Linked DNA regions of Coturnix japonica. The protein of the gene in region 2 purifies or fractionates together with the protein of the main gene of each other region. This does not show direct contact. Links are inferred from orthologs where the notes say so. Each region holds a gene or a part of one and is shown on either strand. Other genes may lie near its edges.

Region 1 (9,691 bases), on a different chromosome or scaffold from region 2:
GAGCAGCTCGGATTACCAGTCCTCAACACAGTACATTAAAGGTGAATGTTCACATAAATTTTAAAGCTTTTAGCAGCACACTAAAGAAAGCATTATTTAACCTGTTACTTGGTAGCTGTTGAGACATTTGATGCATGCAAGACTGTAGATACATGAAATGAAATAACATTTTAGTATGTGAATAATAAGAACCAATCCTCGCATCACACACTCATTTACTAGTCTTCAGAAAATGAGTTTACTGTTCAGAGGAGGGAGGAAATGACAAAGCAGGGTGATGAAGAGAAGCTGACCATAAATCTTATTGGCAATAACACCTAAATTTAGCTAGCAGACAGAAAAAAGTGAGAGGCCACATTTTTTACAATAAGGTCCAAAACCCAGCTACATTTCCTGAATTTGAGTAATACTTACTGAAACAAACAAAAAAATATCTACCTGTGTAAGGACAGCACCACCATGTACTTGTGTTCCCTACATTGAAGTAATACTTACATGATATACAAGGGTCTAATTGCTGCAGTAGACTTTTTTTTCTTTTATAATACAAATGAAAAACACAAACACAAACCTTTTAGGATTATAAGAGAGCAGAATTACCAGCCTGGCTTACTGCTCGTTAAGAATTAATTCAACTGCACTTGACAAAAATTGCAAACATTACTACCATCTAAAATTAAAAAGGCACGCCAGCTGCAGAAGAAATCACATCAATTCTCCCTCCCAAGGCCAGTTACCTGTCATTACTTACCTAAGTTCATTTCAGATGCTAAAAGAAGAAAGTAATTTATTATATACTGCAGGGCCATTGAAATGCAAGCATTCATTGAGTAAACAATCCCAAATCTAGAGCAGTAACTTCAGTTACTCAGTAACAGTAAACAAAAAACAAACGCTCACCTTCTTTAGCGATGGCGATATTCTCTCTCTCTGTCTCGTTCTCGGTCACGATCTCTATCACGATCACGATGTCTCTCTCTTTCTCGGCTTCTTTCCCGATAATAGTCATCGTGACGATCTCTGCTACGTGATTTATGGCGTCTACTTTTTTCTCGTGACCTACTGTGGTCCCTCTCCCTGGATCGTTCACGTCTTCTAAAGAAAATTACTTCATTACTTTTATTTTTTTCCCTCCCCAAAACACAAGCCACCCACACGCCAGTTTTGTATGCTGTTGATTGGTATGAACTGGACCAAAAAAAGACATGAGAGAAATATCTCCTCAGACATGAAAAAAATTGCTCTGCATCACAGTGCAGAGACATTTTTTGTATAACATGGAAGATGGCTGGGGTGGTGGCTAAGAACAGCTAACAGATATTAAGATGCCACCTACTTTCAAACCAGGGAGAAGTCAGAAATTACACATTCAGAATGGAAGACAGCTAAGATCAGCTGGACAATGTACTGTGCCTCAAATGATCCCTACAACATGGCTGCTCATTGGCTTTCTGAAAGTGTGGGCCAAGGTTAGCTACCTGTGTTTTTATTACTCAGCATCAGCTACTCTACTCCTACAATATCCAAATAAATCAGAAGTTAGAGGTTCAGTGGCTGTTGCAACTCTGAAAGGGCTGTAAATAATCAGTAAGTAGAAGACTGTGCATTTTAAACCTATTCTCAGTTTTTTGACTGCATGAGAAGGAATAAGAGGAAAAATCATTCCGGCCATCCTCTTTCCCTTGCCAAGTGTGACAGGTGAGGAGAAAGTTACTATGAAGCAAAATGAAACTGATAATAAATAACCTCTGACTTAATTTTCAATAGAAAATAGTGATTAAAATTATATGTTGTATATAGTATACCAGACATATGACATCTGAATTGATGAAGATAATTCAATTCTGAAGTTCATTTTTTTGCAATACTACCATATAGAAAAGAACACAAACTACAATAAGTTAAAAAGCTAGCTGGATCCACTTTAAAAACAAGAGTCAATTAACAGATTATTTAGACTCAAAAGTTATATTTGTTTCTCTCACAAACTTCTTGTGCAGCTGAGCAAATCACTAAGGTTCTCACATGACTTAGCTCCTCCTCTGTACACTTGTCTTGCCCCACACCTTCCCTTTCACAGAAGGGCAAATGGAAGAGGAAAGTTTTACCTGGATCCAGAACCATAGGACTTGGATTCGATTCCATGAAGGCAGTCTTGAAGAGAGCTAATAAGTACTTTACAACGATCATCAGCAGATACTTTGGACTGTTTAATTAAGGAAATTGCAGTTACCAGGGTCTCTATAGCACTTCCATAGTCCCCTGAAAACAATATAAAATCACGAGAAAATTATGCCAATTAATACAAAGGTTTTTATCTGTAATAATAATACAATTCGGAATGCTTTCTTTCAATAGCCTCCCAAATCATTTACTAGAGGACTAAACATTATAACACTGCCCAGATCAGTACTCAGAAGGCATTCCCAAACGTCAGCTGGGTTACAGTACAAAAAGAGTCATAGGTCGTACCTAAATTCAGCATTCTAGAAGGAAGTGGCATGAAGGCTGCAGGTTTCCTAACACAATAACTAGAAACTCTTTTTGCTTAGGCAGAATAGAAAGCAAGTTTTACTAACCAGCACTGGCATCTGATACAGCTCTTGAAATGGCACTGCTCGAGATTGCCCTATTTCTGTTCATGATTTCTTCAAATTCTGCTTCACTTAGAGGTGTCCTTGCAGCATCCATCTCTCTGTAAGCAAGAAAAATTAGTATTTACAAGGTTAAGAAAACCTTAACAGAATATCATTGCAATTTTAACAATCCAAGTTTGCAACTTTAAGCAAAATGACAAACAGAAAAGAAAGCAGGATCTGGGTTTGTGTTAAGGACCATGTTACAGTATAAAATCCTGAAAGCTTGAAAATAATAAGTTAAAAAAAAAATTATCACATCTGCTAAATGAGTAGTTTTTCTTGTTCTACCAATCTAGTTTGAAGATTCAGCAGCACTTAAACCGTGCTTTACAAATATTTAACATTTTCATAAAATCCTTCAAGGTATCTAAGCAGACATTACACCAGCTGAATGGATGCAGAGATACACATACACGGGTAATGCAACTTTCAGCAAAATTAGAAATCTCCTTAAGACAGTCTTGGAAATAGAACTATATGATCCTGTTTCCCAGATTCTTAACTAAGACCAGAGGGCTGTAATTTTTAAAAAGCAAATAAAGTCTGTCATCATTAAAACACTCAATTTTCTGAATGACACCAACATTTTACAGTTAATTCTAGGTTTTGTTTCTGGTCAAGTTCAAGGTGCACCAATTTCATCTCCCAATCACAGTAAGGAGGAAGCAATTAAAATGAATACTTGCACTCACTATACTTTTTAACTCTGACTATTAGCTATCCTATACATTGATTCTAAAGTAACAAAATTTACTCATACAAAAAATTACCCACAAGTTTTGCAGTGTTTTATTAGCCAGTCTCTGAATCATATAGAATATCTGAAGAAATGCATTAGAGACAAAAGCTGAGACTGTCAAATTGACCCACTGCTTGATATTTCTAAAACAGTGTTAGTTCCTCTGGTAGAAAGAAAACGCAGAATAACAAGCAATACTATCCTCTTAAGTGCAAGAAGTGGAACAAGATCCTATAGCCAGTTTAGCATAAGAGGAAATGTCTAAAAATTCATACCTCCCTGAGTTTTGAGTATTATTTTTCGTGTGCCTCCCATAGAATGGAATATGTAATTTTTCTCTTATGGACATGTTATTTCCAGTGAAACGCCTATGATATATAATTAATGACAATTTAAATAGTTATGGATGATAGTCTTAACATTTTTATTGAAAATAGTGGACAGAAGTTATTCTGTCCTATCCCCATTCCTTCCCTCCCCAGCCATTCTGTAAACTGCAGACAACTTAGATTTTGTCCATCAAAAAACACAAAGCACCTTATTATATCTCAGGCAATTAAGCCAAATGCTTGAATTTCTACAACTTCTATAGGAACACAGTATGTACAATTGTTGGGGTTTTTTTCAACTTTGTGCTCACATGTAAAAGGAAGAATCAAAGTGCCTTTGCAGGAAACACTTTAGGCAAGAGAAGACTCTCTCAACAATATCAGTAAAATCACAAATGAAAAATTCACACGTAACTGCGTAGAAGGTATCTCTCTTAAAATTAGACCCCAAAAGTTCTAAGGAATGGTGAAAGTATGTTGAAAATGAAGACAACAGCGGCATGACAGATGCTTGAAAGCACAAATGCAAAAGCTGTTTCAAACAAGATGTGAAACGCTTCACTAGTCAAGTCAGAGGGACTCAAAAACCCCGACCCAGACTGGATTAACTACAGAAAAGGCCACTGCTACAAACACAGAAAGACTGTACAAAATTACAAGTAGCTTAACAGGAAAGCAAAACAAAAGTCTTGCAATAAATTCCCACTCAGCTTTTGAGACAAAAGCTAACTTTTAATTGAACCCTTAAGAAAAAAGGAACAAGCCGAACTGCTAGAAGATGAAAATGACATGAGCTTGGTGTGGCACCATCCTCAACACATGCACATATTCAAAGAGAACACCAGAGCATTTTACAATGACAGCTTGCAAAGCAAGATGGCAAAGGGACAAGTGAGAATTTCAAGTTATGACAGCAGCACAACCAGAAGCTACTGGCAGGAAGTGATATAAGTTAGCATGTAGAACACACAGAATGATGATACTGTGAACAATGTACACAAACAGTTCAAAGCCGAAAAGGGAAAGCAAGATTACTAGCAATGCATTTTAAGGTTTTCTTACTGCTACAAACACACTTATGAGTTCATTCACTAAGAAGCGAACGGGCAAATCTCATGATTGCAGGGATCCCCTCCAGCTTTGCTGTTTTGTTTTGCTTTTTCCCCCTTGTTTACTTTTTCTAACATTTGCATTAAAAAGTTTTTAAAAAATCCTGTGTTTCCTACAAGGAATAAAGTCTGCCATACGGCATATAACACCAAAAATACTCACCTTCCAGGTGGCCCATAGTCACCTCTGTCATATGGTGGAGGTCGGCCATATGGATCTGTTGGAGGTGGGCCACGGCTGTCTGAAGTAGGTATGCCACTATTGGCAGGTGGGGGGAAGAAAGCTGGGTTCACATGTGGTGCAGGAGGTGGAGCACCTGGAGGTGGCCCGGGGAGATGTGGAGGAGGAGCGAGAGTCAGGGGTGGCCCGAGAGGGCCGGGTGGACGAGGGGGAAATGGACCCGGAGGTGGAGGTGGACCCTGCTGAGGTGGTGGCGGACCCGGTGGCGGCCCATAGCCTGGAACTGGAGGTGGAGGGCCTGGAGGAAGTGGCCCAAGAGGAGGCTGACCAAAAGGCTGTCCTGGAAACAGAACTGGTGGTGGTGGGCGGTCACCACGATTAGGAGGTCCAGCTAAAGGAGGTGGGAGGACCTGACCAGGAGGTGGGGGGCCTGGTGGGCCTGGTGGACCAGGAGGGCCTAAGGGTGGACGTGGGGGAGTTTGTCCAGCTACAAAAAAATAAATAAATAAAAAGTTAATAAACATGAAGAAATAAAAGAGTCACAAAAATAATTAAGATCTTGTCCTTTTTTTTTTTTTTTTTTCCTCAGACAAAAAGCCTTCACTGAACAATTCACATCTTGCACAACACATGCAGAGCTCCACTTTTGGGTCCAGTATCTTAGATATATTTATAACTGGTTATCTATACTGAAAGAGAACATTAACCTGAAAACAGAACCAACCACTTCAAGTTTTTGGTAATTCTATGTGCCTGCTTACTGACCTTAATTTTTGTAATTCCCAAATAAGCATACTGCATTAATAAAAGAAAATAAAAATTAAACTGAAACCCTCCACATTCAGTATTTTACCTGGGAACGGTGGTGGTGGCCCTCCTGGCCCTGCTGGTCCAGGGAATCTGTCTCCACCTGGAATGGCACCTGGGAAACGGCCTCGCCCTCTATTACTAGGTGGAAATGCTGCTCTTGAGCTTCCTCCTGGAGGACCAGCTTTACCTTCCCCAGACATCTGGCCAGACTGTGTGGCTGCAGTGGAAAAATGTCATTATGTAAATCAAAATAGTTTAAAGCTTTTCAATTCTTCTAAAGTTTTATGTAGCACTAAAGCATCACCTTGATCCCCAGTACCACAAAGGAAAAAACACTTTGCTAAGATTCAGCAGCATTTCAGTATCCCCACACCACAAGAATGGAAGTGTAGAAACTCAGTCCATTAAGTTAGTCTAATCTGCCTACAAATGCTGCACCTCTACTTCTCCAATCTTAAGAAGAGTCTTACAAAGCTGCATAATAAGCACTTCCAGCAATTTCTCCTATTAAAACCACAGACATAAAAACACATTGAATTAACTGTTTTGTTTTCAGTTTTTAAGGGGATCTTCTACTTAATTTTTTTAAAACAAAGCTGCAACTTCATTCACTTAATACTTATATAGAAATCTTTAACTGTGCAGAAATTATCAGATACTGAGAGAAGAACTGCAGGACAACTTCCGGAATAAACTTCCAATCTTTCCAAGATGGCACAAGAGAGAGACTTACTTTTCCTTGACTGCATTTCAAACTGACTCAGAAATTGTTTATTACAAGGAGTCACAACAGGATTCTGCCCATGCAGTTCTCTTTTAGGCAACAAATCCATCAACTTTTTGGAGGATGCTTCCGATCCCACACCCACAAGGGCAAACCTGAAAGGAAGAAAAAAAAACAGTTACACTGCAGTTTTTTTGTTTCCTGGATATCCTGATGCCTCATGAATAAACACTTAACACAGTGAGCAAAAGAATGCTTGAAAAGAAAATACAGAATCTTCCACAAATCTTAGAGATCTTTTCTTTTAGAGATAGATAAAGTAATTCACTCTAGGACACAGATGAAAAACCACAATGTAAGTCCAAGATGCAGCAGTGTAACAAAGGTAGCTTTCTGACACAGCATCAATATGCTATCTATTGATTATTATAACCAAGTTGTTATTAAGAATTCAATGTGTTCTCGTGGCTACTCTCATTAGTAATGATGAGAGATGAAGACAAAATTATGTTAGGAAGATTAGACTGTCAGCAAGGAACCAGCTCAAGTGCTTGCTTTCAGCAGTTAATGGAAAAACAAGCATTTAAAATCATTCAATAACAGGGATAGGATAGGAAAAATTTATATTATGAACAACATACATCACCACAACACTAACTGAAACTTAGGAATAGAGTCTTCACATATATCACAGAATCATAGAATGGCCTGGGTTGAAAAAGACCACAATGATCAACTCATTTCAACCCCCTGCTATGTGCAGGGTCCCAGACCAGGCTGCCCAGAGCCACATCCAGCCTGGCCTTGAATGCCTCCAGGGATGGGGCATCCACAGCCTCCTTCAACAACCTGTTCCAGTGTAAATGCCAATAAAATTTAACTCATTAAGAAGTATGAAGTAATATTCCCATAAAATTTATGCCTGGAATTTAATTAGCATGAATTAATATACCCAATCATTGTTGGATATTGATAAACAGAGGCCATAAGTTCACATACTGACAGAATAATTGGAACTCTTTCCCCACTTAGACCCTCCTAAACTTCAGTCGACTTACAGAAAAAGCAGAAGAGATCTTACCCTTTAGATTGGCCATTAGCACGGTTTTCAAAAAACTTTATCTCCAAAATATCATTTACCCCTAATGAATGAACCGCTTCAGTTAAGTCTTCATCTGTCGTCCACTGAAAAATATAATATTCAACTATGAAATCTTACCTAAAACGACAGCACTTTTCCACGCTCTTACTTCGAGGTATAAGTGGTGAAGAGGAATGCTTTATACAAGTTGTTGGTATTTTCTGACTCTCAGAGGACCTTCACCTACACTATACAATGCCCAGAAAACTCATTTTTTTAAGTACTCACTTCCTCACAGGCCATGCTGTCCAGGCCCCACAGCTCCACACAGTAAACCAGCTCATGGGTACTGAAAAAATTCCTGAGTAACTTTCTGAAAGCGCTTTTCCCAAGAGTATTAAGCCTAAACTGAACTATTGAAATAACTGCCACATTTTTTTACATCCTTTTTTTCCCCTCCCATTGATTCTATTTCCAAACCAAAAATCCATTTTAAGACCACATTAGCACATATGCTCACTCCAACAGCTTTAACTAGTGAGAGCCTAGTAAACCACATAATATTTTGCACAAAAAATAACAATATTTTCAGATTAAAAATGAGAAACTAGCACAGAAAACATAGTAACAACTATTCCATCTTAACCAGACCTCCTTCCTGCAACTTTCTATTAGCTCCTATCTAACATTCAACAATTTCACACATACTCGGAAGCATACAAGACATTTATACCCATAGTTTTCTTCCTCTTCCTGTAACTCCATCACCACTTTAAATTCTATGTGGGAAGTACAAAGCAGGCTTTCAAGATCCTGAATTACTTACTGACCTTCCTCAAATCAAGACTTCTTTAAAAGATTAATAAATTACTTTGCTGAGATCTAAACACAAAGAAAATAAATACGATAGTAACGCTCAAACGAGTTAAGTCTGCTTTTAGTGGGTAACTTCATTTGCAACGCCAGATGACGAGTAACGGGTACAAATTACTGCACATTGGCTTATCTACTTTAATTGTGACATTTGACTTGGATGAGCTCAGCTGATTGCATTCCTGTATTTTAGAGAGGTACAACGGTTAAGTCAATGAACTCCCTTCACTTAGCCATTAGCTACTGAAATTAGGTTAGTATACTAAGTAATGAAAAACATTAAGAATGCATAAGGCATTCTTTCCCAAGCTTCCACCTAGCAAAAACTTATTCAGAAGGAAAAAAAAAAAGAACATCAAGGAGGATTTTGCTTGCATGAACTCAATGAAATGGATTTCAGGTAAAGACAAACCAATTCCAGTTAATTTAGCTGTTGCAGAACTACTTGCACTTCTGTTGTTTAACTACAATCGATTTTAAAATACATTAATGCTGACTAAAGGAATTATCAGAAGGGAAATGGTGGCTCAGTGAGTTACCCCAGAGATGTTACTCCCAGGAATGCAGATAAAAGCTTCAAGGCAAATGAAAACAGCTTTGTTCCAAGAATCAAAAAGGAAACAAGAAAAAGGCAAAAAAAAAAGTAAGAAAATCCCAGATAACCTTGTTTTCTTCTTGGTCTAAAACCTTCAGTAAGGGCTCACTTAAAACTGGGTTTGTTTAATAGTTTTAAAGTATCTCCAAGTATGAGATATTCGATATCTTATTCCCCTCCTTCATTATATTCTCTGAAAAGACAGTCCTTTAGATTTCACGAAGAATCACATTGGCAATTTTCCTACACCTGGGTAGGAATAAGATACTCACCCAAGTAAGGTTTCCAATGTACAAGGCAATTCTCTTTCCAGTATACGTGTAGACAACATTTGGTGCAGCTCCTTTACCTACATCGTCTCCAACTGAAGGTGGGAGAGAATCCATGTAGTCACGATCTTCTGGGGCATCTCCATTATTCGCAGATGGAGAGATTACGTCATCATACAAATCAATCTGATCATGCCCACCATATTCAGCTTCCTAAAATACATGAAGCACCTCGGTTATATTTAACATTAAACACTTCTCAGAAACAAAATAGTCCGACAACTGCCACTTTCCACAGACAGTTTGGCCCAACACCTACACAACATCCGTAATGAAAAGTAA
Region 2 (9,691 bases):
TTTGAATCACGTCACAAGCAGCAGCAGGCTTACACTAGTAAAGCACTACCAGAAAGACGCTCAAAATTAGACTTAAAACATAGTAAGTTCAGAAGAGTAGAAAAAAATTTCAGCATGTGAACTGAACAGACCTTGAGAGATCTCTGAACTGATCAGAAAAGTGATAAACAACCCTTCCTTGAAAAATAAACCTTATTGCCTAACAGAGAGGAAAGATCCAAGGCAACAACTTGAGCAGATTGTGGGGAAGAAAATACCTATCTGGAGATGAACACTCACACAGGTTTTAGTTAATGACATTTTCTTTTCAGAAAATGCAATTAGGTTAAAAAGGATGTCAGACTGAGCATTGAGAAGCATGACACTCCATGTGCTACTCCATTAAAATTGAAAGAAAGAGAGACCTATGTTGTTTCATGGGAGGCACAACTTGGCCACTATCATTTGGTGGTTTTTCAGGGGCAAATTAAAAGTTAAGGACACTACCAAATGAAGCCTAGAAATGTGATGATACATTGAACAGTCTGGTACTGATAAGGAACAAACAAAATATTCATCGGTTCTTGTACTTCATTGGGAAGGCGCAATACATGGCCTGCAGGCAACAGTTTGATTTCCTAAGGAGGTAACAATACTCCATTCTACCAAAAGCAGCAAGCAGATAATGCAGTGCATTTGCCCAATGGCCATCCTTCCAAAGATCCTGCACTCTTGTCTATTTTTTTTTCCCCCCATTATATTTTGGCTAAACTAATTCCTGCCAGGCCATCCAATGAGTCAAGCAGAAACACCTCCAGGAATGCTGTGCACAGCCTTAAGGTGCTACTGCAGGAGAACTAGGGGGGGGGGGGAAACCTACAGAGTTACCAGTCAGATGCATTAACTCTCAATTCCTACAGAAGACTAAACAAAAGGTAACAGAGAGAAAAGGGGACAGAAAACAGGGAAAAGGCTAATCTTGCTGCTGGAACGCTAGAGCTAAGCTACAGCTGTTGTCTAAAACCTCAAAACTTAGATGAACTGCAAATTCAGCAAGGAAGAATTGCAGCTGTATTTCATGGCCCTAAAATACAGGACAGAACTGTGCATTTCTGCAGCCTCTAAGGATAAACGCCAAACAGTGATTCTGGCAGTTCCTGAAATGCTAATGCTAGAACAAAATAACCTACTGCCTTGATTCAGCTGTATTAACAACGTAACAACACACATTTTGAAGCAGGACAGCTATCATGAAAGAGAAACAATGAAAAAAATATGCTTCAAGCTTTTGTGCATCCTGGGTTGTTTGTTTCTGTATTTACTTCAAATAAAAAGAAAATACTCATTAGACAAAGATCTGAGCTGCCTTTAGAAGCGAATCTCACTGGGCTTCCAACTCTAGAAGCCCCTGACAATGCAGTGATTTTAAAGTAATCTTTTATTTTTATATCTGCATATACATATATATATATACATGCAGGGAGTTTCCACTCTCTCTATGCCCATCCACAGCCCAAACCGGGCGCAGTCAGAGCAAACAAGAGGGAAAGGTTTTTGCTTTGTCTTCCATTTACTTTAATTAGTCCTAACTAACACTAATCCCCCCCCAACACACTCCAGATACCCTTTTTTCTTTTTTTGAGATATCTACGTTAGCTTATGATAAGATGCTACTTAAGAATGCAATACAGACATGCCAGGGAACACACAAGGCTAAAAGAAGGTTAACTTTATTTATGAACATGTGGTTTGTGTTTATACACATGCTAGTAAACAAAAAGAAAAATAACTGTTACCAAGAAATAAAAAGCCATCTGAATTAGATCAAATACTTAAACGTGGTTTACGCAAATGCATTACATTAACTACTAGGGTCACTGGCCCAGTTAAGCTAACTTGAACTCATAATGAGAGGTATTTATGTCACAAAAGGAATTCAAACCAATCAGGGATTGAATTACAGATGTCAGATTCAGACTTAAAGTCTTTTTAGGCCTACATACAAAAAGGTTTTGATCTGAAGTTGATTGTGAACCATTCCGTGAGAACCAGAGGCTGTATTCTTGATAGAACACAGACACTGGGTTTATGGATTTCTATGTTATGTTATCCTAACAACTCAAAGTGATCAGATCCAATGATCCAGGGTTAGTGTAATGCCTCACACCATTCTGGTGAAGAAAAAGCAGTTATACTTAAAGATGAAAAATAAAAACCACCAAACAATAATTTTAATACTGTACGGACTATATTGAAATTCAGAATAATACATAATATTTGACCCAAGTGGCAAATCAATATTTAGGTCATTCCCAATCAAGTATTTCCTTGTGTACTTATCTATATTTTAGCAACAGAGTAACAGTGTGTTTTCAAGCCTGACAAAAAACACTTCCCCTTTTCCAAATGTAAATCCAAAATGGTGGTATACTAAAGAGAGGCTTAACCTTTGGGAAATTAAAGCAGCATCCAACCCTGAGGTCACCCAGATTCAAAAATACACTACGAAGGAAAGTTCAGAAAGCTGACACAGACTTTAGCCACAAACGCACCAGGCTCTATCCTTGTGCTGAAGTTTGTATACCACGTTTTAGACATTTTCACTTAAACTATTCAACTGTTTCATTAGATAAAGTGAAAAGTCCGAATGCAGAGCTTTAGAATACCACTTTGTAGCAATGATATTCAATGATACTCAAATTCAAGTTGATTTTTCAAGACATTCGTGTACTCAGAGGGGCCCAAACAATATCACTTCAATTACAGTTTGAGGAGCAAACACTCAAGTGTTTAAGGACTTGAAAAGGAATTATTTAGCTGCACAGAAACGTCCTCAGAAAATGCACGGGATATGTTGGTTTTGGTATTTGTTTGAACCCCCAGGTCAAAAGTAAGAAACAATACCCAGTTTAACAATAATGGTTTCTCAGTGGTTTTTGATAACATTTTCAAAAACCATTAGGCAAAAAAAGGTATTTAAAAACAAAAACTAAGTGATACAATGTGAAAATGGCAAAAAAATACACTCCAAACATTTTTATTGCAAGGAACAAAAAGCACACAACAACCTATACAAACATACATATCACTAGCTATAGACAGACAGATGTAGAACATGGCACCATGTTCAATTGTGCAAACCTCAAACCTACACGATCTAAAACGATCATACAGTATCTGTACAACAAAAAGTCATACAGGGAATATTCTAGCACGTTCAATATGAAATACAATGCATTACTAGGCACAAATACCAAGATTCACATTAGAACTGTGCAAATGATATCATTACTCAGTTTTTACTACTCTGAATCAAATACATTGTATTTACAACATAGACTATGTTTTGATTGAAAAGATATTAAGTTAATAATTGGAAAATTAATGTAAGACTACATGGTTTATAATTAAGTGCAGTGTGTAGAAAAAGAAAGTGTGAGATTGTGTTTTTACATACTGCTTTTGATGTTCCACTCACTGGTTCAGTTCGACTTCTAGAAGAAGAAATAGAGGTGATCAGAATTTAAGGAAAAGCACTTGTACAAAGAGATTATACAACCTGAGCATTGAAAAATCACATTCTGAAAGTCCAGTGAAATTAGACATTTAAACAAACTCTTCTCCCTCTGTACATTCAGTACAATGAAAAAAAACCACATTTCTACTCTGTTAAATATGATTTTAAGACTTACAGATATATCTGATATATTTACAGATATATAACAACGCAAGCAGAAATCCTCAAGCATTTTGTCTCTGCTATGTAAGCAGCAAAAAAACATGACATCTGTACTATGGCTTTGTGTTCTTCAATAACATTCTAAGCATGAAGCCGGCTTTAGCCAATCTGTATATCCCCAGCGTTACAATGAGTGGGCTGATAGAAAAAGAGAACTTACAGTCCAGATACTCTGAAGTGCAAATATACTCAAGTGAACAAAAAGTAATTTCATAGTCAGTCATCTGACAATAACAAAAATCTCTGCTTTGGAGTCTTTAGAACAGTGTTTGTTTGTGGAAGCCCAAGCACTGTGTTCAGATATCTGCTATATTCAGCTATGAAATTGCCAAAATATTAGAACTTGTTATCTATGCTATATTGACTGAAAATAGTAGTAGAAATGTCACCTGAAAGGAGTTTCTACGATTTTGTGCGATTTAGGAGTCCTGTGACAAAAAAAACGGTCTTAATTGCCAGAATTTGCTTTAAAAATAATCTTGAAAATTCTACAATACTTTAGGAAATATTTCTTATGTTTGACAACTTGCTGAGATTCCACACACTGCTCCTGAATCTGACACACAGCCCCTGACAGAATTCACAAACAGTTCAAACATTGGAACTTGTCCCATAAGCAGCAGCGATTTAAAGGCTGCTGTGGAACTGACATATGCAGGGACAGGCTTGTGTTCCCTGCCACTGCTAGGAAACCACGGGGCTGATACTGCAAACCCCGAAGATGAGGAGGTATATGGAAATACTATAGATTACCATGCAGAAGTTTCTTTATGTGTTTACCTTGAAGAACAAACTCCGTGAAGAATAAAACATTTACAAAGGCCTCTCCGCCATTAGAGCATGTGCTCATAATTCCCAAGACTTAGCCACTCTGCCACTTGTTTCTGCAGAGTTTCCAGGTGAAGGAATAGAAAGCTAATCTACCTGGTTAATTTTCAACATTAAAACAGCAGCACAATTCTTCCTTTATCCCCACATAAATATATTTATTAGATCATTGATACTAGCTGCATCTGTCCACTAGTTTTAGAGCAGCATTATGATACCAGGAGGGGGTGCCATCCAACCAGAGATGGAGGATGCATCAACAAGACAAGGTGATACTTATAGCACTGTGCTATACGGTCCAGAATTACTAGGTAGAGTCTGAAAGGGCTAAAAATAACTATGGCAGTAATATACTGAAGTTCATGTGCAGGGCCACGTAAATTCAACCTTTTTGCTTGCAAATGCTTCATGGGTACCAAGGTACTGTTGCAGCGTTTGGAAAAGACAAACTGTAACTCATCAGTAAACTTTATCTGCTGAGAATCAATGTTAAAAAGATGAGGTAAAACCACAAGTTACTAACAGCTACTGATTGTATTGGAGAGGTATCTTTGAGAAGGCCAGAAAACTGGGTCATTCAAACAATGCTAGCAGCTGACGCAGAACTGGATTCTGTGAATAAATAAATGACAGCAACAATCCCATAGTCTAATTATAATAAATACATGTGATTCTCTGTTCTCCAAGAATACTAAGACGAAAACCTGGAGCACAGATACCAGCTTAATTAAGGTAAAATCAGAAAGCTAAATAGTAACATTTGGCAGCATGCTAACACACTTGCCAAGTTTAAAGTCAGGAAAGCTGTAGCTATTCCTCCATGGTACTCACACAAAAAGCAAGAAACTTAAGGGTATTGTTCTTTTTCACTTGCTTGAGACAATTATTGTCTTAAGGAATCTAATCAGTTATGCATGACATGTCTCACTTGCATGGCTCACCAACTGGTAACCCTTGCTCCATCCTATATTGCTAGCATGCAAAAATACCAGGTTTGGGCCATAAGAATCTTGCATTTTTGTCTTAGTGATGTGGCAAGTAAGGTTTCACACTGAGAAGCAGACTGCTGAGATGGGAATAACATACAAATAGGCATAGTAGTGTAAATTTTGATCTACCACAAAGTCAAATAGAGTAATGTATATAATAAGGAATCTCCTCATGTAGAGGAAACGGGATCTAAAGTCTTTGGTCTCAGAAAATTGGCCCCAAGAACAAAGCCAACAGAACCACCTCAAAAGTCGCTGCTGCTGGCAGGCATAAAAATCCACCCCAATACAAAGATAAAAATAATGGCAGCTTTAAAAATAAATATACAATATGAATGCCTTTAGGAACTCATGCCAATCCAAAAAGTGAAGAAACATCTCACAAAGAATAGAGTGCTTTACGTATACTTACATAACATATGTTTTGCTTGTAGCCTTAACTCCACCAATAGGGATTCTTCTAACAATTACAGATGAATTCTTGGGAATCAGAGCGTTATCATCTGTGTATTCTAAAAAAACACAAACGCAGAAAAAAGGTCATAAGAGCATATATTGACATGCATTCTGATAACACTTCAGAGCACTCTTTTAATGATAGAAAAGCAGAAATATACACATACCATCTGCACTTTTACTGCCTTAAAATAACGGTCTACTCAAAAAAAAACTAAGTTTGATAATCGAACGTAAGCAACAACTTTAAGCTACTCTGGATGCCAACAGCAAAATGGCCTCAAAGGTCACTGAAAGAGTATGTGAGTGCACAGGGTTCATTCCTTCTACAGTAGGTTGCTTTTACTTCTGTTAGGCGACAATATCAATAGGCTTTGGGAGAAAAAACAAACCACTGCAGTCCCACAAGCACAAAACTAATTTTTAAGCCCAGTTATCCTGCTCTGTAATAATAAGACAGAGACTTAACTAAATGTGACAACTCTGAGCTATTGCTTTCAATGCTGAATAAGATTGAAACACCAAAGTCTCTCCATCAGAATGGCTTTTATACTGAACTTCTACAAGCCAACTACGACTATCCTAAAGCACCGTCAGCATCCATTCCCTATAACCCACCCACAGTTTTAAATACAAAAAGCCATTAAGCTTTGCAGAACTAATTGGCAAACCAAAGGCTCTGTGTAACCCATCACGCATACACTCACACTGTGGTTTTGCCCAGTGATCACACACAAAGTAAGACTATTTTATGACTTGCACTCCATTTTTCAGCATGTTACTTGTAGAAAAAGAAGCTTCATTTAGACTGAAACACACCGACCAGAGGGTATCATTTCAACTCTGAAATGAAAGATTTATTCCTATTTCCAGATGATAAATTACTGCTTTGAAAAACTGAAAAATCATCCAGCTGAAACTAATTTCTGAACTTCCCCAAGGGAATTGAGCAGCAGCTTCCTCTGAATTTCAGTCATTTAGAACTGTGCGAGAAAGGACTATTCCTAATGACATCTATGAAAACAGCAGCTTTTCTTTAGTTATATATCCTGAAACCACCCCGTAGAGCTCTAGGAAAATCTAATCATTACGAAGCAAGCTGTCATGAAAGGCCTGCATGCAGTAGGACATCTCAATGGAGAAGTTCAGATTAGGAGCCACTGGATGAAGATTTCAGAGCTCTGGGATAACCAACAGTGGCTCCTCAACAAAGTAGGAACTTCCTATGCTTGTTCCTAATACAAACATTATTAGTTCTATAGACTGCATATTTTTGCACCTCTCCTAGACAGTGAACAAGGGAGCAGCTGACTGATTTGTCCGGACCTCAGCTGAAAGGAACAGAAAGGACTCCTCTCAATGTGCATTACACATACATGGAAATTATCCAGGAAAACCTAGGCTAACGTAAATACAGAAATACAGGCAAAAGAACCGCAGGCAATGAATGTTATGAGGAATTACCTTTGAAGTGCCCCCCCCCCCCCCCCTTTTTTTTCCTTTTTAAAATTTCTAGCTCACAAACAGAAAACTAACACTAAAAAAGTTGAATTTAATACTAAATTAGGACAGCCAAAGCCATTCACAGAAGACACACTTTGGGACCTTCCGCTTTTCCTCTTCAAAAACACACTGCGTTTTGTTTTTAAATACACAATCTGTTTTTCTGTAGTGAAAACTGGCTTCATTTCTGTTCCTATTATAAATCTGTTGAGTCTAAACCATTCTCTCCTGCAGACAATGGCTTTATTCATAAATCATGCAAGCCTGCAGAGGCCAAACCAAATGCATACAAAAGTTGTAAGGGTGAAGAAATCTTCTTTTAGTCATTTGTGACAATTTACTGACCCTTAGAAGAGAAGCACCAACACAGGAGCCCTTGGAATAAGCTGCCCTTACGTGCACACAGATGCTCTGCTTGCTTTCAGTCTGCATGTTAAAAGAGTTCCAGCCATCCAGGAGCAGTGATACAAAAGCAAATTCCAATGTCATCAGTGCTTTCATATTTAAACTGATCAACAGAAGACCAATATCTCCTCGTGAAGCAGACTTTACCTGCATAGGACACTTATGACACATTTGTATTTGGTATTTATTTCATCCCATTTGCTCTGTCACCATAATAGCGTGACAGAGAACTGGGGAAGAGTGACTACCTGCAGCTGAGTGCACAAGTTGAGTTACATCTGCAAAAGGACTTGGAATCTATTGGCTGCAGTATGTTTATTTCTTTTTGATCCTAACTACTTGAATGCATTTTGGTGATTAAATTTTATTAAAAGCGAAGTAAAACAATGCAAAGTACAAACTTAACTTCCTTTAAAAAAGGATGAAAGCTGAAGCTACTCCTCAAATACCTTGAAATGCATTTGTTCAATCTGAATTTAACAGAAGCCAGCTCAGTCTAACAGCTCTCAGATTGAGCTGGCATCTCCAGCACAAGCTTGTTCCCCTATAGCAATATTGCCTAGCAGGGACTTGGCAGCTCCCAGGATCTGCAAAGCAGTGTCACTGCACACCCTGCTTCACCATGTGACTGAACATCTGCAAAAGAGCAGTGACATCATGTTCAACAAGGCCACTTTTCACACTTGACAAGCAGAGCTCTAACAGAAATCCTCCACAAAGCAGGAGGTACATGAATTGTTGATTCCTCAAAAGTCACTTTACTGATGGTGCCAGCCAGTGAGTGGCCACCAGGCTTTAGTCAATCCGACCTGTGATTAAAATGCAGAACTCAGTCTGAAAAACTTGCAAAACCAAAGGAAATGTGGACTACAAATTAAGCAGAAGTGACATAACAGTATAAAAGTTGCTATCTGTTCTACAAGAAAATAATATACTTGATAGGGTCAAGCAAAAGAGACATTTCAAGGACTGTATGGAGGTAGACATCAAAAAATAACTGGTTTAAATGAAAAAACATTCATTTATGTAACCTTCTGCAAAAAAGAGAAGTATAAAATGCTGAAAATCTGATGGTTTTAGTAATTTCTGTTACGCATACTACAAATGAGTGACTCTAAGAAGTTCTTACTGCATTTTATGGTCTGTTTTAATGCACTGGTTTCAGTCTGACAGCACTGCATCTTTCTGAGCACAGCATAGAGAGGAAGTGCTCTTCAATAACATGAGGCTGTGTGCAAAATGACCTTTGCTAGGCTTCGATATCTCACTTATCAGACACTGTGCTATTGGTGGAAGGATCTGTAAAGTAAGAGAGGAAACCAACCACTAACATTCAAAACTGTCTAATCTAAAAGAAAAATAAAATAGGGCAACTCCTGAAGATGCTTTTTTCTCCTTGGCACTTCAAAATACGCTCCCTCATTATCAATTATTTTTTACTCTGTTTTAATCAATACTTACAATTTTTATTTTGGAAAAAGCAAATAAGTTATGTAGCTGGCACTGAAAAATTGCCTTGAAACACTCTGATTAATGGAGTGGGCAGCTATTTCTGGTTTTCAGCATCCACCACAATAGGTATCGATGACCTCACCTGACATACTATTTCTTTAATGAGCCAGTTCACCTGTCACATAGTTCACAGACCTTTCATTTGCATCATTACTGTGAAGTGCTGTGCTTCATAAGAGCACTTATGTGATCCTGAATAGATGAGTCAGAGTCTAACATATAACCATCGATCTGAGCACACAGGCTGCCCAAAGCCTCAGCGTTCAGTTGGCTCCACTTG
Region 3 (10,382 bases), on a different chromosome or scaffold from region 2:
GGGATGACACCTCTATCAGCAGAAGGGATTCACTGTTTTATTTCTGAATTTGAGAAAGCTTTAAAGCACTACAAAAATTGTAATGTACGACACAAAAGTGTTCTTCAAGGGAAAAGTGAGAGCTTGTGAGAGCTTTTTTGGGGCAGGCCTGTGTCAACAAGCACGAAGAGGCACCTAACAGTGTCTTTGAAGTCAACATTTACACTCACAGCACTTGAACACATTACAACTGAGGGGTAGATACAAGACTGCCTCCAACTTTGAGAATATATAGTCATTCTCACACAGGACCCCACAGAGGCATACAGGGAGCCTTGGGTCAGCCAACAGAACCTATGTGCACAGAAACTATCTGATGGATGATGCTCCTAATAAAAACAACTTAGTTGTCACAGCGATGATTTTGTCTAAGCATAACAAGCATTTGAGGAAGCATTAAACTTTTCTAACTCCCTGACACCAACTACCTAGTCTTCCTCATCCATACCTTGACCCAGGCTTCCTTCAAAGAAGGACTAGAAGAGTTTTAAAGTTTCACACACATTATTTTGTACACGTGTTTGTGTACACATACAAACTCCATACAGCAGATGATTTTAAATTCTAGTAGCATATTCACTTTCAAGGAGGAGCAGGAAAAGGAAGCTACGTAAGTTTTACAGCACACTGTCCTCCTCTTAGGCAATGACGGCCAGAGACCAAAGAAGAACAGTTTTCAACAGATTTACTCTTATACAGATTTACTCTTTTACTGCAGACTTTACAAAGGCAAATAGCCCAGCATGCAGTGAATACACTCCAAGTACAGGTATGGTTACAAGCAGCCTATGTAGTCTGCGCTGCTGCCCCATGGTTCATTAGTTAAGACTGCTTCTAGCTTGCTCTCTGAAAACACAACACTGAAGACAGCAACCCTTGAAAAACATAAATGAAACTTAGAACAAAAATCACCTTTAAATACAAAATCCTAAAGAATAAATTAATAACGCAGATACCTCCTCAGCAGGACCAGCACTTCTCCTCTAAGTGAGGAAACTGAAATCATTGGATCTGATGCAATGATTTCATTCAGTGTTTTCATTTCTGCTTTAATGGAATATCTAGCTTTGCTAGACACACATACTTCTGCAACAGTTTCTATTGCAGAAAATGCCTGAGATTGAATACTAACTTGAACTGAGAAACATCATACTGTACGACAGCAACAAAAGAGCTGCATATTTAGCACAGCTGTGAGAACATGTTTCTTTCCAAGTTTTACTTATGTCCTATGCCAAGATAATCTGTGGCTACCAGAAAGAATAGTTTGTGCATCCTCCAACCCCTTCTCCCCTCCCCACACAATAAATTGTTAAAATGGCCGAACAGGATATTTAGGACACCATCAAGAAGCCAAGCATAAGGAGTGAATTCTCGCACGCTAACACAAAGGAAAGAATTTAGGTTATCCAAAACTAAACAGTGCACTACCATAATATTTTTGTCAAACCAAATTAAACTTATGATACAATGTGACATTCTCATTTGTGCACTAAAAATTGCCATATATCTCCAAACTTCAGGTTAAAAATAGAAACCAATAACTTTCAGGCTGTATTCATCATAATAAAAAAAGGAAGACGTTCTATTTCAAAATCCACATCCAGGACTCGCCATAAAATTTATTACCATCCTACTCTATATACAGTAAGTAAAAGTTAAACAAAACAAAAACGAGCTACAGAAGGAGCGGCCCTGTCCTCTGTTATGAAATTACACCCTAACCACTCATCTGAATACAATCCAAAACAGAAAATCCAGTCAATTTCCCTTCCCAACTAAGGCATTCTTGTTTAATAGCTTTGTGCTGAACTACACTCTTTTTATTCAATAGAAATGTTATTTCATCAAATATAATTATGACAAATGAGATTAAAGTCTCATGTTGTGCAGTCATTGCTTATTCAAAAAGGCACGAATCTTGACATCTGTAAGATAACGGATGTGCTGAGGCTTATATGACGATAACTACTTTTAATGCACAACTCTGCAAATGGATCTTTTCAACACATGAGGAACTCTGGAGCCGTTCCCATTTCAGAAATCAGATTTACTAGAGATGTGTGATGTTTTCTTTGTACGTTACATCAGGAGTTCAAAAATGAATGAACATACTTAGTTTAGTAATACACACGTGCAACTTTACATCAACACCTACTTTAGATTCCATCGGATTTCACAAAAAGTCTGGTATCTGTTTTATTATCACATTACAAAGAGGAACATTAGATTGACTCAGCTACTCAAGTTCAAACACGTCACATCTTAAGTTTCTATAATCAATCTATGGAACCATTCTTTAAAAAAATTAAAAATTGTTAGCATTATATCTAGATAACTAAAATCAACTTTGTTTCTTTCAGACAGATCTTTCTGAATGCTGCTCTCTTTAAGAAAGCACAATGTTAAATACCCAAGGCCTACATATGATAAGTGGACAAGCAACCATGATATACAGACAGCTGCAGCCCTGTGGTACAGTTGGCTTAATCATGGAAAATTTGATAGGAACAGGAAGGTTAAGTTCCAATTAAAGTGTTCTTAGCAAGAAGGCAAAAGATTATCAAGAAAGGAGACAAGAGCAGCAATCCTACTAATGTGACATTTTGAATAAACAACTAAAACCAACATTGAGAAGACTTCTTAAATGTATCCACCCTGGGATAGGACGTACATTTAGGATACCCACATACTCCATTCCACATGCAGAACTCAGTGCTCGCTCTCCTTAAGTTTCAGGTGGTCAGTGAATCCCCAGGTCTCTAATCTATAATTTCTATTACTATGCATAGTTTTAGATATCGTCTTGAATCAAGACAAATTTCTCTTCAAAATATTAAGTCATTTACCTTCTACTCTCACTTTTTCCACTCTATTACAAAAGCAATCTGGGTTCACCTCCACCAGCTCTCACCACTGACTTCAGGGTCAATGCTGAGCAGCCCCAGGACTGATTTCACAGCCCTCCAAGGCAATCAAGGTCATAACAGACAATAGGCCATTCAGCATCAAAGAGCACTGCAATTTTTGCTTCTTCTTGTGCCATCATCCTAAAACCATCCAAACAAAAGCCTGCAAGTAAGTTACAATGTGATGGAGCTCCCCTTGCCAGTTCTAGAGGAGGAATCCTGCAGCTTCTTTGAAGCACATTGTTACCAGCAACAATGGAAGTTGCTCTATAAAGCTACAACCCAACAGAGAAGGGCATGCCTAAGAATGACAGTTATAAAATAAATAAATAAACCACAAAAAACCCTGCTTTTGGTTTGAAACCGAGTAATTCATTATTATGTAATTCACTGCTAGGAACTGATGTTACAGAATTTCCACCCCCAAAACATTTTCATTTGCAGCTCCGGTGCCTTTGGTGTGTATCAGACAACTGCAGCTCCAGCACACCAGGACGTGCCCCAGCAGTTGGATTTAAAGCAAGGCTAAGAACTGAACAAACCTGACACTTCTGTCAGCGTTTTTCTTCTCACTTTACTTTGGGGTCCTAAACTGTTTCACTTGCGTAGGAGACTTGAATTCTCGCAAGACATTTCCCAAGGAACATAGACCAGAGCAGGTCTCGGTAATACAAGAGCAGTCTGAAGAACAAAAAAAGAAAAACATAGCAAAAAAGAAGCAACAGCTCCGCTGTCTGCCACAGCAAAACCACTGTTTCCCAAGGCAACTGAACAGACTGGGCCGCTGCATCTGGAACTGCCGACTCAGGATGGCAGCCGTCCAGCAGCCGGCCGTGCTCCCTGACAAAGCAGCAGCCAGTTTCTTCTGACTAAAAGAGAGCCAGCTCCGTGCTCTCCAACGTGGCTGTGAACGCAAACTTGTGACAAACTAATTCAGCAAGACATCCCAAGGCAGCCCTGGTTTAAAATAATAATAAAAGAGCACTAAATGCAATCATCAAACCAAAACAGAAATTAATAATCTTGTGGTTAAGACTCATCCAAAAGCTGCAAATGCAATCCTGAGCCTACAGCTCCTATAAGGTAGGAGATATTTGTGTCTTCTAAGTGGCAAAAGAAGTGTACGTAATGTTACAAACCGACACCCCGAAAGGTGTTGGGAAATGGAACCAATCCCATTACACTGTGCCTCCTGTGCACCAGGTTTAATTCCAGTGGAGCAATTCCAGCTTCACACAAATGAAAGCACCAGTGGACAAAAAAGCACTGGCAGAACAGGATGTATGTGAAAGATAACAGTTAAAGACCAACGATCGCTGTCATGGAATTCCATCCTACTGGGGTTTTACCCATCCCAAAGATGCCCACCCATCACAGCCAGCTCCCCGGGTCTGAGAGGTCTATGAACACTGGGAAGCAAAACAGGTGAAACAAAAGCAAAGCCAAGAGATGAGGTCGCACGCATTGGGTCACCAATAGGGCCTCGCTGCGCAAAGTACGGTTAAAGCCAGAGAAAGAAGCGTGCGATCCTACGGGGAGCAGATACCAACCAGGGATACGAGCAGCAGCACCTGGGCAGTGCAGCACTACGGAGATGTGCGAGCGTTCCCGAGCACACGCTAAAAGCCGTATCAGAGAATGAGAGCAGGTGGAGGATGACAGGAACGCAAAGGGTTCGGCGGAGACAGGAGAGGAGAGACAGGAAACATAGACCAGCGCCAGTCCGTGCGAGGTGTGCAGATGCCGAGCCCCCATTTCCAGGGCAGGGCGCACCCGCAGGCAGCGATGGTCCCGCGGTACCGGCACTGCGGGCCGCCCGCAGCCTGACACACGGGGCGAGGGGGTCGAGCCCGGAGCCGGGAGCGGAGCCGAGCGGAGCGGGCGGGACGTTACGGGGCGGGGAGCAGCCGCGGGCAGGGAGGCTCCGTCCCGTCCCGTCCCGTTCCGTACTGTTCCGTACTCACTTTTTGTGTTGCGGCGGGTGCTTGTCCCTCCTACCGGCCGCCGCGGGCTGCTTCGGCCGCCTCCTGCGGGCCTGCAGGGCCAGCACTGCCGGGAGGAGAACAACCGATGCCGGTGTTAGGTTGTTAGGGTGTTGTTAGGGTGTTGTTAGGGTGTTGTTAGGGTGTTTGTCCGGGTGGCCGCGCTGCCCCCCGCTCCCACCCCCCGCTTCCCGTCTCGGTACCTTTGCGCGAGTTCATGGAGCCTCACGCTCCCTTGGGGCCCGCGCCGCCGCCGCTCCCGTGTGGCCCAGCCCAGCCCGGCCGTGTCCGGCCCTGCCCGGCCACACCCCGCCCCCTCCCGCTCGCCGCCTCCTCGCTCCGGGCACCGGCCGGCAGCAGCGGCAGCCCCGCTCCGAGCCGCACAGTGCGCAGGCGCGGCGCTGCTGGCGGAGCTGCGGCCGGAAAGGAGGGGGCGGGGCGGCAGGTGGAGGGAGAGCACCTGAGGGGAGGAGGGAGGGGCTGTGTATTGTGTGTGGGACGTCGTGTGTTGGACGTCGTGTGTCTGCCCGGAGCTGTGTCGGCTTTGGCTTATGGTGAGCCCGGGGTCAGGTGCCAGAAGCAATTAACATCACGGCAAATCCAAGGAAGTGAAGTGTCCTCCGTTCTGATTCTCGCTATTTATCACCAGGAACGGCTCCGCGTTGTATTTCTTCGTGCAGACCTGGACAGCAGTGCGGTGTCGTGGTGCTGACCATACCAGGTTCCGCTCAGATCTGACCTGTTGAAATGTGGCACTTATTTCTGAGCTGCTCAATTTTTGAGACTCTGAAATTTGGTGCAGTCACACTCTGTGATGATGTTTGATGCAGAGTATGATCCAGTGTGAGCGTGAGGCTTCTGCATCTCCTCGCTTATCTTCACGTGGGACTGGAATTGAAAGGCACAGTAACAAGAGCTAACAGCGAGCAGCCACTAAATTTCAACAGAGCTGCCTCCCTAAACGGCAAAATAAATCTGCGAGGATGAAGATCTCCAAAGAACTGTAGTCAGGGTCTTATGAGAGTGAAGGGAAGCAGGAATCAGGCATCTTAAGTAATTGGATCATAGAGATTTCAACTAGACAGAAAATCGAATGGTGAATTCAGTGCAGGGATGGGACAGGAAGAGAAATACAAAGCCAGACAACTCAGAGAGGGCAGACCACAATATATAATGCCTTTTTTGTCTGGCTGGAGAGCCCAGTGAACAGAAAACAATAGGACCATGAAGTCCTAATCTTCAGCTCTCTGCTGCCAACATGAAGCACCACTGCTGCATTTCTAAGTTAAATAAAAACAAAATCTGTTTTCCATCCTCCATCATAAAGGAAGACCAAAAAATGTATGCCAACACAATATACTACTTGGGTACCATGCAGTGTTGGTACATTACACATCTCCCTTTCTGTGGTCAGACTTTTAGTGATAGTGATAAAGCAACTGAAGACTATACTGAAATTTAGAAGCCTTCCTCCTCAAAAAGTATAGATGCATTAAAACTAATGGTAGTTGAATATTGGAAAGAAGGTTATATACCTACCCTTTGCTTTTAGGCTAATTTTAATTGCATTGGTTTGGCTGTGCCCATGTGTGAATACTTGTGCCTGTACGGATGATGGTAGAAACAAGTAGCTGATGATGGAGAAAAGGGTGGTGAGACTGGTTTTATTATTTTCAGCAGTGCTGGCTTAAAGTTATCTCTTAGGTTTAGCTGTAAAGCAGAAATCGTATTAGGGTCTCAATCTTTTTCTCATCTACTCGTGTACAATTCTGTTTACCTCAGCAGGAGATTTGTATGTAGAACTGATTGGAAAATTGGGCCTTAGATAACTACAGTGTGCTTTGCTTACATCAGCAGGGTTAAAAATTCACCAAATCTGGAGTCGGGAAGGAATTTCCCCCATGAGCATAATGTCAGCAACATAATCAGGGCTTGGGAACAATCTGTTAGCACACAGAGAAGGGATTATGGTAGGACCAGGTGGGTGTATTCCACACAGTCGATCTCATTCTATTCAATGGGCACATATTTTATGACTGTATTTTTACTGATTTTTGTTCTTTTTTTTCCTGAAAAGCCCCTCAGATAATGCTCAGGCAGGAGTGTGGAAATCCAACGAGCCTCTGTATGTATATATTGAGAGGATTACCAAGTGCAATTAAATAAACTGGAGAGTAAAGTAAGAAGAAGCTCAGTGTATTTCACAAAGGAAAAGAAGCAGTATTCCTCAGAATCTGCAGAATGTACCTCCCTGACCACCCAAACTGTAAGCAGAAAATTGCAGAAAGAATTCAAGACGTTGTTACAAGTGGACCTACACTGAATTATGTTTATTTGAGCCCATTTATTGTGTGATTTTCTCCATCCTTATCTTAATATGCGTCTTACTGCCTGTAAATCACCTTTTTCAAAAATAAAGGATGAAGCAAGAGAGAATATGCACTTAAAAGTAAAATAATGCATTTATAAAATGAATTAAGAATGGTGACCTAGGGCAGAAAGCCGTTCTTTCTGGCTGTCTCTCGTTGAACACAATATCGGAACAGGTGTCTGTTCTATTACAAGGATTACTGTGGGCCTCATGCACAGTGGGGTAGGGCAAGATGGGATTTAGGCGATGTGGCCTACCCAGAAAAGAAGAACAACAGATTTAGGTCTTCTTAGGTGCAAGCATTGGGAAGGGCGAAGGAAAAATATTAAATCATGGAATGGTGTTTAAAAAAAGGTAAAACCTTTTTTTAGTGTCATTTGCATCAGACATTTGACACCCCATAGATATTTGGTTTGTTTCCTTTTCATTCAGCTTTGAAATATCCCTCTTATACAAGAAGACATTTACTTCTCGGGTATGAGTGGATCACATTTGTGCAGAATAGGAGCCATCCTGAAAACACGATAGTTCTGCTTTCTGAGAATAACTCAAAGCTCTTCCTTCAGCAGAAGGATGTCGGAAGCTTTTGCCCTGATTCTTTTCAGCATTACTTTTTGGGTAGCGTGCTGTCTGAATCGCACCTGCCCAGAAATCAGGATATTAACTAATTGTGTGCTGCTTTTGCACAGAATGGAACAGATAAGAAATAACACATAAGTCAAAGGGAGAAAAAACCTCAATGCACTGTGGAAAAAAGAGCACTATAGAGATAGGAAATTCCCAGTTAAATGAGAGTTCTGATTAACATGCAAGTCCAGCCTTCTCATCCTCTCGCCTTTCATGTTTGTCTCTTGTTCCTACAGTTCCCACCCCCATTCCACATTTCTGTAAGTGTGATGCACTCGTGTGTGCATACTAACAATGAGTCTGTCCTTTTGTTCACTTTAAGAATTTTCTGGCCGCCAATGTGCTGTTTTTCTACTTCTTTTCCCCCTCTGGGATGCAGACAAAGTAAAGAGAACAACTCTTAGCTTGGCTTTGAGCAACACAGAAAACAAATTTACAGATAAGAAGTATTCACCAACAGTGACTAGTAAGCTGTATTTGCTTCTAAAGATGGGAGGACTGTTGGCTCATCGCAGCTTGCATATAACTTCAATCAACAGTTGGAGCAATGAACGCATTAAACAAGAAAAGCAGGATTGTTATCTTTGTACTGAATCTGGATAAAAATACAGCAGGAAGCGAGAGTTGGAATTTCTAGAAAAAGAAAAATAAAAGCAAGAGGTCAGAAACTCCTGAATTTACATTCCTGGCTCATGGGCTGATTCATTGCGCCCGCCATCCCTACAGCAAATCACACAACTCACCTGACTGATTTTCTTCACCTGTAAAATGGTGGGGTGTATGAGTGTGTGCCAGTTGCAGAGTTAACACTGGTAGAGAATTCTTGTTTATTGAGTATATTGGGATTATTAATGAAAGAAGAAAAATAAGTTCAAAGCAGACCGGTTTAACACCAATTTGACATCAAGCTACATACTTACCTACGCCCAGAAATAGCTGTTTCAACCCAGATACGTGTTGTACTAGAGTAAAATAGGGCATGAACTGGCATGACTTAACTCAGACCTGAAACAGGATTAAAATAGACTGTAGCAATATTTTTATGATAATATCTATTCTACATTTAGTCAATCTAGTGTTGAAATACTCAGATTTCTGGAATGATTCTCTGAGTCCTTCCTTCTTCCATTACGTAAAGCAGGCTCCCAAATACCCTTTAGTTAAACTTCTCCTGTTCCCTGCCTTAAATTTCCTCATTAGCCCCCACTCCTCCTGGTTGCCAACTCTTTACCCAGCTTGCCCTTCCCATCTCAACCTCCCTCATTTTCTTGCTCCAATCTCTTGCCATTTTTTTTTTTCTGTTTAAATCAGATGGTTTCTTCTTTCATGCTGATTAAATGTCAGCAAGGGATGAGAGGATCACTGAAAGATTAGTGACTGCGCTCAGCTTCCTTACCAAACACAACATAAGCAATTATAGGGAAGAATCTTCTACAGTGTAGTTTGGGTTCATGCCTACTATTTCTCTCTGAATGGCATCTACACAATCTAGTCATGCACGAGAGATTTATTTGAACATGGGATACATGTCTCATATGTCTCTATCAAACTCATGAAATGCCATTCTACAAAGTCTCATAATTTGGACAAATTTCAGATTTTGATAGGTCTTATGAAGCCATATCTTGGATAGGAAGGCTTCTTTCTAAGAAATCGCAGCTCCTTACCCAAAGGTAGGGCTGCCAACCATTAGATGTTAGATAAAGGGATTACCCAGTTTCCTTGCACTTGGCTTGGACTAGACAAACAATACTCACAATGAAAACAAGGGACAAACTGTAAGCTCGGTATAGGAGGAAGCAACTGACTCATTTTTTCTTCAAGAGTAAAGACTTTTCCCCACAACCTCCTCTGTATTTTTTCTTGATATATTTTCACAGCCTTCAAAAGAAAAATCAGACACCAGCTGACTAGTAGGAAGATACCGTGTCGTGTCAGTAGTGTCCCAGATGTCTCTTCAACACATCCTTCAGCGTGACATAGCTACGATGCCTCCTCTCTGAGAGATGAATAACTATTGCCCTGCTGTGCTGCATCTCAGGAAGGACAGGGCTCCTTCTGAAATGAACTTCTCTTAGTGGAACTGCCAATAAAGGAGCGCTAGACAAGCTGGTTTGTCAGGATATAGGTTGAGAACTTTATCTAGATGGCACAGTGTGCTTGCCTGGTTTTGTAGGAAGCAACCGTTTGGTAAATAATGTCTCTGTTACACAGGCAATGTCCATTAACAGCTACACTTATCAGTACAGTGCTGTTTACCATTAAGGAACATAACAGTGTTGCTTTTGCTTAATTAGGCCTGATTGCACAAACAGTAGTCACAGAATTACTCTGCTAGAGGGACATCCTGAAGAAGTATCTCAGATCTCTTTTAAGCTGATCAAAACATCACTTTTCAGAATGCAAGGATTATATCATCATCCAGCATGGGAGATTTCATCCCACGTGATTAAC

Evidence for each region.
Region 1: the proteins of RBBP6 (region 2) and CPSF6 purify together in Homo sapiens (affinity purification with mass spectrometry; 3 studies listed by BioGRID and IntAct, with this or other methods). This does not show direct contact. The link is inferred for Coturnix japonica from reciprocal best matches to the Homo sapiens genes RBBP6 and CPSF6.
Region 3: the proteins of RBBP6 (region 2) and SRPK2 purify together in Homo sapiens (affinity purification with mass spectrometry; 4 studies listed by BioGRID and IntAct, with this or other methods). This does not show direct contact. The link is inferred for Coturnix japonica from reciprocal best matches to the Homo sapiens genes RBBP6 and SRPK2.

Annotation. Positions count from the first base shown.
Region 1 is NC_029516.1:32,111,314-32,121,004, reverse strand, and holds part of CPSF6 (cleavage and polyadenylation specificity factor subunit 6), read right to left. Parts: intron 9,563-9,691; coding exon 9,353-9,562; intron 7,717-9,352; coding exon 7,613-7,716; intron 6,687-7,612; coding exon 6,541-6,686; intron 6,025-6,540; coding exon 5,851-6,024; intron 5,485-5,850; coding exon 4,980-5,484; intron 3,747-4,979; coding exon 3,654-3,746; intron 2,696-3,653; coding exon 2,580-2,695; intron 2,263-2,579; coding exon 2,109-2,262; intron 1,096-2,108; coding exon 906-1,095; 3' UTR 901-905; exon of another isoform or gene 899-900; intron 770-898; exon of another isoform or gene 1-769. UniProt on the Homo sapiens protein: Component of the cleavage factor Im (CFIm) complex that functions as an activator of the pre-mRNA 3'-end cleavage and polyadenylation processing required for the maturation of pre-mRNA into functional mRNAs.
Region 2 is NC_029529.1:6,697,143-6,706,833, reverse strand, and holds part of RBBP6 (E3 ubiquitin-protein ligase RBBP6), read right to left. Parts: intron 6,048-9,691; coding exon 5,948-6,047; intron 3,474-5,947; coding exon 3,437-3,473; intron 1-3,436. UniProt on the Homo sapiens protein: E3 ubiquitin-protein ligase which promotes ubiquitination of YBX1, leading to its degradation by the proteasome.
Region 3 is NC_029516.1:12,546,871-12,557,252, forward strand, and holds the start of SRPK2 (SRSF protein kinase 2), read right to left. Parts: upstream 5,260-10,382; 5' UTR 5,150-5,259; coding exon 5,134-5,149; intron 4,998-5,133; coding exon 4,913-4,997; intron 4,374-4,912; exon of another isoform or gene 4,066-4,373; intron 1-4,065. UniProt on the Homo sapiens protein: Serine/arginine-rich protein-specific kinase which specifically phosphorylates its substrates at serine residues located in regions rich in arginine/serine dipeptides, known as RS domains and is involved in the phosphorylation of SR splicing factors and the regulation of splicing.